Drosophila melanogaster: one gene and its partners. The protein of the gene in region 1 interacts with the protein of each later gene in a pairwise test. Each region holds a gene or a part of one and is shown in the gene's direction. Other genes may lie near its edges. The genes, in order: Kdsr, CG32988 and CG4676.

Region 1 (3,882 bases):
CTTGTGTCAAAGCGCAAGATTGCAAAGCTGATCACGGAGCAGATTGTCCACGACTGGGACGATCCCAGGCTGTTTACTCTGACGGCTCTGAGACGTAGAGGCTTCCCAGCAGAGGCCATCAACAACTTCTGCGCCCAGATGGGCGTAACGGGTGCCCAGATCGCCGTCGACCCCGCCATGTTGGAGGCAGCAGTGCGGGATGTGCTAAATGTTACAGCTCCCCGTCGGTTGGTTGTCCTGGAACCGCTCAAAGTTACCATAAAGAATTTCCCTCATGCAGCGCCCGTGCAGCTAGAAGTGCCTGATTTCCCGCAAAACCCACAGCAAGGAACTCATAAGATCACCCTAGACAAGGTGATCTATATTGAGCAGGGAGACTTCAAGTTGGAGCCTGAAAAGGGATACCGTCGTCTGGCACCGAAGCAATCTGTGGGTCTCCGGCACGCGGGTCTCGTAATCAGCGTGGATGAGATAGTAAAGGATCCGGCGACTGGTCAGGTGGTGGAACTAATCTGCACCAGCCAACCTGCCGAGCAGGCCGAGAAGCCCAAGGCTTTTGTCCAGTGGGTATCGCAGCCGATACAGCTGGAAGTGCGTCTGTACGAGCAGCTCTTCAAGCACAAGAATCCCGAGGATCCCAACGAGGTGCCCGGCGGTTTCCTGAGCGACATCAGTGAGCAATCCATGTCGGTGGTGGTGGCATTCGCGGATCGGGCCCTAAACCAGGCCAAGGTTTACGACAAGTTCCAGTTCGAGAGGATTGGCTTCTTCTCCGTAGATCCTGACACCAGTGCGAACCACCTAGTGTTCAACCGCACTGTGGGATTGAAGGAAGATGCGGGCAAGAAGTGAACGGGATTTCGGGAACCCACAAATGAAAAGAAACAAAATCCGTATCACATTAAAATTCGATTTATAAAATCAATGTTCATTTCTTTCCCTCCACCATGATGATGTGGTAGCCAAACTTGGTCTTAATCGGGGGATCTGTGTACACGGGATTGTTGACAGTGGAGATGGGCAATGCGAAGGCGGCGTCCTGAAATGGGCCCACCATCGCTCCTCGGATCTGCCATCCGAGATCGCCGCCTTGTCGCGCCTTGTCCTCGCTGTAAGCAGCCGCTACCTCGGGGAATTTTTGGCCTGCCTTTAGCTTCTCCATCGCTTCGGTGATCTTGCCCTGCTTCTCGCACAAGATGTGACGAACCTTTACAGCATTGCCTCCCTTCTTCTCCTTACCGGCAGCTGCAGATGGCAAAATTCATTTGAAGGATAGGATTTTTGCTTTAGTCGTAAGCACTTACACTTGTCTTCGGCGGCTGGCTTTTTGCCACCTTTCCCTGCATCCTTTCCACTCTTCGCATCCTTTTTCGGTGGCATTTTCGTTCAATGTTTTTAAATTGCAAATTCGAAACAAGTAAACAGTTTGGTTGGAGCAGACACATGCGGTCAGTGCTGCGCACTAAGATCTAACCTTTTTTATCAAACCACTTTATTTCAAGATCTAGTAAATATTTATGTTGTTGATTCATATGGGTAGCCATTGCACATTTAATTTATTATGAATAAAATTAAACAAAAAGTTTTGAAGAACAAAATATTTGCTTGGCCGCTTATAGCCACATTTGCATCTCTGATGTGCGTCGAAAGCTTTCGATAGAAATCCGGTTTGCGTCAACGGTCACACTTAGATGCACTTTCTAATCAGACGTTTAACTTTGGGTGCAGATAAGCCAGCGTAAGAGATTAGAGAATCCGGGAATTATCGCACCCTCTTGAAATTGTCATCATGGAACTGAGCTGGGAGATAGTGTTCTGCGTGGGCATTGCGGTGCTGGTTCATGTTCTGGTCTACGTGTTCGTCATGGCCAAGAAACCGAGGAGCATTGTGGGTCGTCATGTGGTGGTCACCGGCGGCTCCAAGGGAATCGGACTCTGTCTGGCGGTGGAGTGCGCCATGAAAGGCGCCAATGTGACGGTGATAGCGCGCGACGAGAAAATGCTGAGTGAGTAATGTTCTGGCTAGGAAACCCCACCCAAAATACTCTTATCTTTGATATACGATCTTTTTTGCAGGCGGAGCAGTGGCTCTGATGGAAGTGATTCGCCAGCGGCCAGATCAAAAGTTCCAGTACAGAAGTCTGGACATAAGCGGCGATTATGACCAGGTGGCCAAAGTGCTTGGCGAGATCGAAGATAGCTTCGGCCCCATATACACTTTAATAAACTGTGCCGGAATGGCCATTTGCGGTGTGTTCGAGGAGGTCTCAGTCCAGGATGTCCACAAGCTGATGAACGTAAACTTCTTCGGCACCTATAACTGCACCCGTTATGTCCTGCCCAAAATGAAGAAAGCCGGCGACGGCATTATTGTAATCACTGCCTCACAGGCGGCTATGTTTGGCATCTATGGATACGGTCCTTACTCAGCCACCAAGTACGCCCTGAGAGCGATGGCTGAAACGATTGCAATGGAGTCTCGGGAGCACGGGGTCAGCGTCACTCTGGCCATGCCCTGCGATACGAATACACCCGGATTCGAGGAGGAGGAGAAGTCAAAGCCCAGGGAAACCAAAATAATCTCTGGTGGAGGAGGTCTCATAGAGCCGGAAGTTATGGCGAAAGCTATACTTAAGGATGCCCTGGTGAGTCTGTTACCCATAGTTAATATTCACGCAATCTAACTAGAATACTTTTTCTTATTTGTAGAAGGGAAAATTCACCTCAACTGTTGGAGCAGAAAGCTGGCTGATCACCACTTTGGGTGGAGCATTGCTTCCTTGGGATGGCTTCTTCACCAATCTTCTGCACGCCATAGTTTTGGGACCACTGCGAATAGTTAGCTACGCTCTGCACAAGTACTTCAATAGTGTTATACGCAAATGCGCTCGAGAGGATAAGGCCAAGGCCACATCGCAAGTGGAGTCCAAGTGAAATCTCTCTTGTCCCGCTGCCCTTAAAGTATTCCCAAGTGCCCATAATTAAATCACTTTTTTATAATTAATCAAAATGTGCGATTGTTTTGCATGGTTAGCCTATTCATATATTACAATTCCCGTATTATCATTCATTTTTATATATATATTTGTATGTGCATTTGAACTTTTTTATTATTGCCGTGCTAGGGTTTTAACTATTTGTATCGTGTTTTCTAGACTAGATGACGTGTGCTCGTTTTGTTGGTGTGTGCTTCGTTTTAACAAAAATAAAATGTATTTACTGTTCAGAAAATGAGTCGTTTTTAAATAACCACTTAGTGATTGTGCTAATCGCTAAAGCAATTTCACGCATTGGCCTAATCAAAATTGGTTTCGTATCTTAAAATCGAACAGCAAACTACATGCAGAAGCGATTAGATAAATACAAAAACCACGCCACAAAAGCCATCAACCTTTTCCAAATGGTTCAAAATTCAACGATAAATTATTTGGTTTTCTTTTGTCTTTCTTTATTCATAAGACGCACCCAGTGTACACTTCCTATAGTTTCAGTTTTCAATTCGCCTTTTTTTAACATTCTGTATAGTTAACGCTAACAAAAATTGTATAATCATAATGCAAAATATATATATATATATGTTTGTATATATATTTAGACATATTATTATAGCATCTTAGCACGATAATCAAAAATAATTGGATTCAAATACAGTAAGTCTACTTTTTGGATAGAAGAGTTATTAAATTATTGTTAGGATTAGGATGAAAAACTAAATTAGAGCTGATCTGCAGTATTTCGGTATCGTTTGGGATTTACAATAGATAGAAAGCATTGTAAATAAATATAAATTTAAACAAGCAGTTAGATTAAACAATAAACAAGGTATTTTGCACAAGACGCCGTACGACAACTCAACAGTGAAACGAAAAATGCTACACAAAC
Region 2 (3,484 bases), on another chromosome or scaffold:
TGTGCCATAAATATTTTGTCAAAATTTTAAGTGGTTGCCCTCTAAGTGCTCCCAATGTTAGGAGGCAGTTTAAGAAATGACTGGGTCATCTATCCACCAGCCCTCCAGCTTCTCAACTTTCCTTTGCCACAGCAGCAAGAGCAGGCTCCTGGAACTTTGGTTCGATACGAGCATCCTTCGATACACCAGCTTCGCTTAGCACCCCGTAGATTAAGGGCACGACGTTCGGTTGTGGAAGGCGAAGGCTCCAGAGGACTGGACAACGGAAATGGCGACTCGTCGAAAATAATATTTGTGCGGCGCTGCTACATGATGGCTGGATTGTTTTCGACTACAACTGCGATCCTTGCCATAATCCTGTCCAAGGTAATTCCTCCGGAGGCAGATCTTATAATGGCAGGATTCATAAGTGCAATGGTGTCCCTAATGTTTCTCTTTGTCTTCTGTATTTTGACCAAGTTGCGGAGTTTTTATTGGTATAGTTTCATCATGGCCGGGTTGTTTGTAAGTCTGGCAGGTTTGGGCGTTATTCTGCTTCTCCTGGAGCGGAACCTTTCCCGCGTGTGCATTGCCCTTCTGGTGGCCTCCGCCATGACTGTGATATGCTATTTCGCTGGCGCATGGATACCCAAGATCATCCTCCCCGGAGAGAGGACCATGTTCCTCCTGCTCGTCATTTTCGTGATGTCCTCAATCTTTGTGATGACCATGTATATCTTCACAGACAATTGGATCTACCAGTTGGTGTACTTCACGTTATTGGCCACTTTGCTAATACCCGCATCCGTTTACCATGCTCAGGTGGTTCATTCCAGGCGATTCCAGCTGCCCGATTACGAATTCGTTATTTGCGCCGTCAACATCTATCTGCACTTTCTGTTGTTCTTTGCGGCCTTTTACTTTGTCATCTGGGCTCCCAAATGGTGAGAGTTATAGGAGTTAATTTAACGTGTCCGTGTAAAATAAAAAGAAGGCTTTAATGAGAAAAGATACCAATTTGTAAATAAAAGATATAGAAGGTGAGCAGCTTTGCCAGGAGGTAAGTGTCAGGGTGCAGGCCAGACCTAGTCTTAACACTCGGTCCATAAGGATTTTTAACGGGATGGACAACATTTACCACCAGGACAACATCCGGCCGACGATCGAGCAGCTGGACCCAATGACCCAGTTCATCCGCAGCATCTATAACATTGGCCTGATCCTTATCGGAATTACGGTGGGCGCATGGATTCTGCTCATGCTGACCCATATTCACCTGCAGAGGTACCTTCCGTTTCCCTGCTACGTCCTGGCTCTAATAATTTTTCTGGTGATGATATGCATGCATTGTATCCCGAGAATATCCTACTACTCTCCCTGTAAGTGGTTCATGACAGGTCTGGTGGTTGTGTGTACCACCTTGTTTGGCTGCCATTTCATCCACGACTTGAGCCCGCTCATTATCAGTTTCGTGATGATCGGCGTGGCCCTGATCATTATGTTACTCAACTTCTCTGGGGCCATGTGCCCGCAGGAGTTCCTGCCCGGCGGTGTTTGCTCCACGCTGCTGATGATGGCACTGCTGTTGGTCTTGACCATTGTGGGAATCGTCCAGCTCTGCACCGGGAGTGTTGAGCTGCTCGACACCTTCGTCAGCATTCTGTTCCTGATGCTGATCATAGCGATCCCCATTCAGGCGCAGTTCAACCATGGCCGTCTGAACGTCGTGGAAGTGGTTCCCGAAGAGCACCTCATGGTCTGCACCCTGACTTTATACTTGCATTCAATGATGTTCTTCTTCTGCGTGTGCTACTTCATCCTGGTCGACGAGAGAAAGGAGGCCATCAGACAAACATCTGAAGCTCCGAAAATTTCACTCGAAAATGATTTTGATTGAGAGAAATAGCTGTCACTGTGTGATCGAAACTGATTAGCGATCTGGCAAGTTACTATGGTGTTCCAGACCAAAGGATACTGTCATCCAGTCTAATTACTTAGTGCGGTGTAGCCTAGGCGGTACAGAAAATATAAATATATTCTCATTGCAAGGCAATTAGAATAAAGCCAGAGTATTATGAAAAGTCCTAGTCTCAATATAAGAGAAAATGAATCACTTACTTTGCTTTTTTCTTCAAAATTACATTATATTGACCTAAAATAATTGATTAACACATGAATAATCGCAATCGGGGTTGGGGTCGTTATGGCCTTAGAACCGGAAGACCTGGTGGCGAGCCAGTTCCTGCGGAGGGACCGGAGGTCTTAGTCATCAACGAGCGGGAGTTGCGGGCCTTCATCTTCCGGGTGTACCTATCCTCCGTAGTGCTGTGCCTGCTGTCTTCCATTTCGTGGATCATACTGTCGGCACTCGCTGTGAGGGTCTACAAGGCAATTCCAGTGCCGCCGTTCGTTTGGCTGATATTAGCTTTCATCATTCTCTCAGTGCTCGGCTGCATCGCACAGACTCCAGCATTGACCTTGTTATGCTGGGGATTGGTGCTGGGATCCTTGTTCTTTCTCACCCTGTTCGGAGCGTATTATATGCATCTAGTGCGCGTCTGGGTCCTTTTGATTGCCATTTTGGTTGCCGGATCCCTGCTGGCCCTGCTGCATTTGTATGGGGCCAAAAGTCCGGAGGTTCTGCTACCCAACATTATCTGTACTTGCTGCATTTTTCTGCTGCTCACCGTCACCATGATCGTCCTGCTAATACTCTTCCTGATCATCAATGATATGCGGTATCTCCTGGCACTTGCCATAGTGTTCGTCATCCTGATCGCATTCATGGCTCCATTTCAGGCTCGTTTCATTTGTGGAAGGCTGCAGCAGGTGCCTTATGGGGAGACTGCGGATTGCGCCAATGGCATTTACCTACACTTTATTTTTCTACTCTCCTGCATGCTCGTTTTTGCCCTGTACTATAAGCTAGTTAATAGTTGAATAAAAAATATGTTGAGGCTGATGTGCAAATAGCCTAGAAATGTATTTGCGACTATGTTGGATAAAAACTGAATGGTTTTAAGTGCATGTTGTTGGCTTAAATTAAACCATCGAAAATCAATGAACAGGCCATTTGGTTTTTGATTGGTATACCTCAGTAATACTAGTGAACAATCTTAGCAAAATGTCGAATTACATCAATTTTTGAAATTTCTGTCTCAAAAAATTCGGATCGATGAGTTGTTGTCAGCATGAGCAAGTGGAATTGGAAGAGGAAGCAGACGAGGTGCAGCTAGTGTTTGCCCGTACTGTTTACATAGAAGCCGTACTACTGTGTTCCGCATCGGCATTTCCCTTAATGTTTATTGCGTCGCTCAAGATAAGCATTGTTAGAATCCTGCCGGTTCCGCCGTACGTGTGGCTGCTTTTCGCCCTCGCCATCCTGGCAGTCCTGATCTGCCTGCCCATCAGTCGCGTTCGGCCACTGATCGTCTGGACAATGGTCGGCGGGGTTGTGGGACTCTTAACGCTGTCCGCCGCATACTATGTAAACATGTATGACATT
Region 3 (3,433 bases), on another chromosome or scaffold:
GTGTTCTCCGGTTCGTGAACCACTGCCACGTACTCCGTGGCGCTGCTGAGACCTTCGAACAAACTGCTGGCTGAATCGTTCTCCGTTAAGTAGTGAAAGTTTGGCCAGTAGGAATTGTTGTGGCTGCTGGTCAGGTTCTCTGCGGCCACCATACCCGCTAGTATTTCGCGGATTTCGTTTTTATCCTGCGTATGCAGGCTCTGCCCGTAATGCTGAGGACCCGGCTGGAAACCGGGGCCCAGATAACGTAGCGTTGGATAGCCCATCACCTCGTAGTTGCGGCAGATGCCATTGTTCTCCTCGGCGGCGCAATCGATGGCCGCCACGATGAGCACCTCGGACCAGGGCAACAGGTGCTCCGCTACCGACTTGTACGTGGGTGCGAATCTGCGACAGTGGCCGCAGTAAGTGTTGTAGAACTCGACTAATGCTCCGCGATTCTGGTCCAGGACGGTAGCATTGAAGTTGTCGACCGACAGGCGGATAACCTTATCCCCGTCGTCGTAGAGACCCAGTGTGGGATCCGATGGAGGGGACTGCTGCTTGAGGAGCGCCTCGTATCGCGGAAGGGGAACGCCCGCGGATGCGATGTCCACCAGCAGAGCGACGGCCAGAATCACCAGGTGCGTCGCCGACATTTTGCGGATCTACCCAATTTGCGGGATCGGTTGCGGCTGCGATTCGTACGGAATGCGATGTGGAACGCGACTGCTCTGCTGCGATAAGATTTAACTTCACCGAAGCATTTGGAATGTTTTACGGTCGCAAGTGGTTTGATTAACTGCTGCCAGGGATGCCAAATCGTCTGCTTTCTAGCTACGATTCTTCAGCTATTTTCAAAACTCGCGAAGCGAAACGATGTTAAACGTTTTTCGTGCCATATAATTTGTGCATTTTTAAATTACTTTGCCTATTAATTTGTTTTATTGTCAGTAAAAGTCATTTGGTATATATGTATAAACTACTAGCTACACGAATTCATTTTTACTGCGAACTAGTTCGCTCCCAAAATTTTAAAACCTAAAAAAGAAAAAAATTATTAAAGTAATATAAAAAGAACAGTGCACCTAGGCTAGGCAATGTTTTATACCTGCTTGCACTCTACATCAAGGAAATGATTATTTTTCACAATTTAAAACTTTACATTGTTTAGTTAAACATATTCTTTTATTTTATTGTCTCGTTCGTCATATGGTTTTCGATAATCCGCAAAAAAAAACCCCAACCTATTATGCACACGTATATATTAATTGAATCGCCTTTAAAAGTTCCAAGAAAAAAAACAAAGCAAAGTTTCATCGAAGCGCTATGCCTTATCAATTTTGTATGGTTTTTGTTTTTGTAATTTCACAGTAGAAATCCCCATTATAAAGTCGTTCTTTAATTTCAAATAAAATTTTATTTTTAATTTCAAGTTTTTATGTAATAATATAAAGCAAACTTAAGAACTTAAGCTTATAACATTTGTATTCCTTTAATATACCATCGTTTATGACATTTGATTTATTCGTATTAAGTTACTTATTATTACCTTATATATTTATATTTCTTTAAATTAAATCATTTGTGTTCTTTAAAAACCGGATTGCTTCTGTTAAATTCAATCTTATTTAACATTTTACGGGTTTCCTAACGTAAAGAGTTGTGTTCTAACCGTTTCACCATACTCGACTTAACAGTCTTACCGTTAGCAGCAGAGCCAAAAATCGCTTTGCAGCACTGTCTCAGTTGGGGGGTACAAAAAATAACGGGAGCATGATGATTTTGCGCTCGTGGGATCGCGTTAAACCTCGTTCCATTTCGGATTTCGCATGTTTCCTCCTGGTGGCTGTCTTTGTGCCCGTGACATACATCTTCCATGTGACCATTGTTATGCCGGAACTGTTTGCCATCGGAGGGATTTGGTACACGTTATTATGGTTGGCCAGCCTGTTCCTCATCTTCAACATCACATCCAACATGCTGGCCTGCATGCTTGTGGACACTAGTATCCGCAGTGGGTAGCAAGCAGTGATTTTGTGGTATCCCTTCTAAGATTGTCTTTATAGAGGAGCTGCTGAAGCCACCGTTGGATGCGGCGCAGCTGGCACGGTGGCACTCTTGCCAGGATTGTCAGACATTGGTGCCACCTCGATCCTGGCACTGCGAAGTGTGCAACGTGTGCGTGCTGAAGCGGGACCACCACTGTCGGTTCACTTGCTGCTGCATCGGGCATCACAACTACAGGTACTTCTTCTACTACCTGGTTTACATGATCATCGGATCCTTGGCGGCCGCCATCATGGAGAGCATCTATCTGTGGCATCTCCATCTGGACATCTACTGGCGCTGGTCTACGCTGTTCACCATATTTGCTCCCGTGGTTAGCCTGATGCTGTCTCCAAGCTGGGAGTCCTTCTACTTGGTCATATATGATCTCACCCTTCTGGGCTTCGCCATATCATCCTTGCTCCTTGTCTTCCACTGGTCGATATTCAAGAGCGGTTCGGTGACACGAGAGCGCGGCACAAGAAAGTACGATCGCGGTTTGCGGGGTAACCTGGAGATGGTTCTGGGCAAGAGAATGCATCTCACCTGGCTGTCGCCGTTTCTACGCAGCGATCTGCCACACGACGGAATGAACTGGGAACCCATAGCCGCCTTTTCTCCAAAGGAGGAATAGATCTGAATTGTGTCTTACCCATTCTTGACATTCATTAGAGGCATTTACTTATATCTACTTCATAACAAAATCAGTATTGTTTATTTTAAGACTCACTAGTCAACATCTGAATTGGAAATAGTATCCAAATTTATACGTCTTACTATTCTCTACTTGACCAATGGAAATTAATTTTTAATGTTTACAAGTCACACATTTGATCAGCTTACAAGTTAAAATAGTACAAAGCCTTTTATTAACATAAAGCTTTACAAAATATTTAGAATACTGTGTATTCATTCAGTAATGTCTATTATATGTATTAAATTAATCTGTTTAATGAAACCAAACAAGTATTTATTAAATGGTTATTTATTTAACAGCGTTCATTATATAATTTACAAAAGACTCTACTACTTATCGAGGAAACTTTCGCCTACGAGCGATTTCAGCTTAGACAGGTGTGTTTCATTTAGGGTAAATCCTTCATGAATACGTTTGGCTAACTCCCTGGAATCAAAGTTGTTCTCAACGGCATATTGCAGGGCAAACAGCGCCTGGCTGGGTGACTTCTCCTGCACACTTGCGTCCACAAATTCTATCAGAGCATTTAGGCTTGGTGTTCCGGGAATTCTGTGCTGGTTCTTGTCAATGTGGGCGAAGACTTCGGTCGCCTTTTCGTAGCTACCACCGCGAACGAGAAGCGTGAGTATATCTCCCAGCATTTGGCCGGTGAAGGAGACCTTTCGGAGACGCTTGATAGCCTCCTCAACCCTTTCGAACATATCCAGC

Evidence for each region.
Region 2: the proteins of Kdsr (region 1) and CG32988 interact in a two-hybrid assay, tested with the Drosophila melanogaster proteins (one large-scale study listed by BioGRID).
Region 3: the proteins of Kdsr (region 1) and CG4676 interact in a two-hybrid assay, tested with the Drosophila melanogaster proteins (one large-scale study listed by BioGRID).

The regions. Positions count from the first base shown.
Region 1 is NT_033777.3:25,260,308-25,264,189, reverse strand, and holds Kdsr (3-ketodihydrosphingosine reductase), read left to right. Parts: upstream 1-1,691; 5' UTR 1,692-1,789; coding exon 1,790-2,006; exon of another isoform or gene 2,007-2,008; intron 2,009-2,076; coding exon 2,077-2,645; intron 2,646-2,709; coding exon 2,710-2,934; 3' UTR 2,935-3,227; downstream 3,228-3,882. Other genes in the region: GlnRS (Glutaminyl-tRNA synthetase), read left to right, coding at 1-852; CG11858 (uncharacterized protein), read right to left, coding at 929-1,245, 1,305-1,380.
Region 2 is NT_033779.5:8,862,753-8,866,236, forward strand, and holds CG32988 (uncharacterized protein), read left to right. Parts: upstream 1-2,111; 5' UTR 2,112-2,151; coding exon 2,152-2,919; 3' UTR 2,920-2,940; downstream 2,941-3,484. Other genes in the region: CG32986 (uncharacterized protein), read left to right, coding at 55-927; CG32987 (uncharacterized protein), read left to right, coding at 1,103-1,876; CG32983 (uncharacterized protein), read left to right, coding at 3,155-3,484.
Region 3 is NT_033778.4:13,234,260-13,237,692, forward strand, and holds CG4676 (uncharacterized protein), read left to right. Parts: upstream 1-1,720; 5' UTR 1,721-1,755; coding exon 1,756-1,996; intron 1,997-2,048; coding exon 2,049-2,662; 3' UTR 2,663-2,796; downstream 2,797-3,433. Other genes in the region: Qsox1 (quiescin sulfhydryl oxidase 1), read right to left, coding at 1-638; CG4679 (uncharacterized protein), read right to left, coding at 3,055-3,433.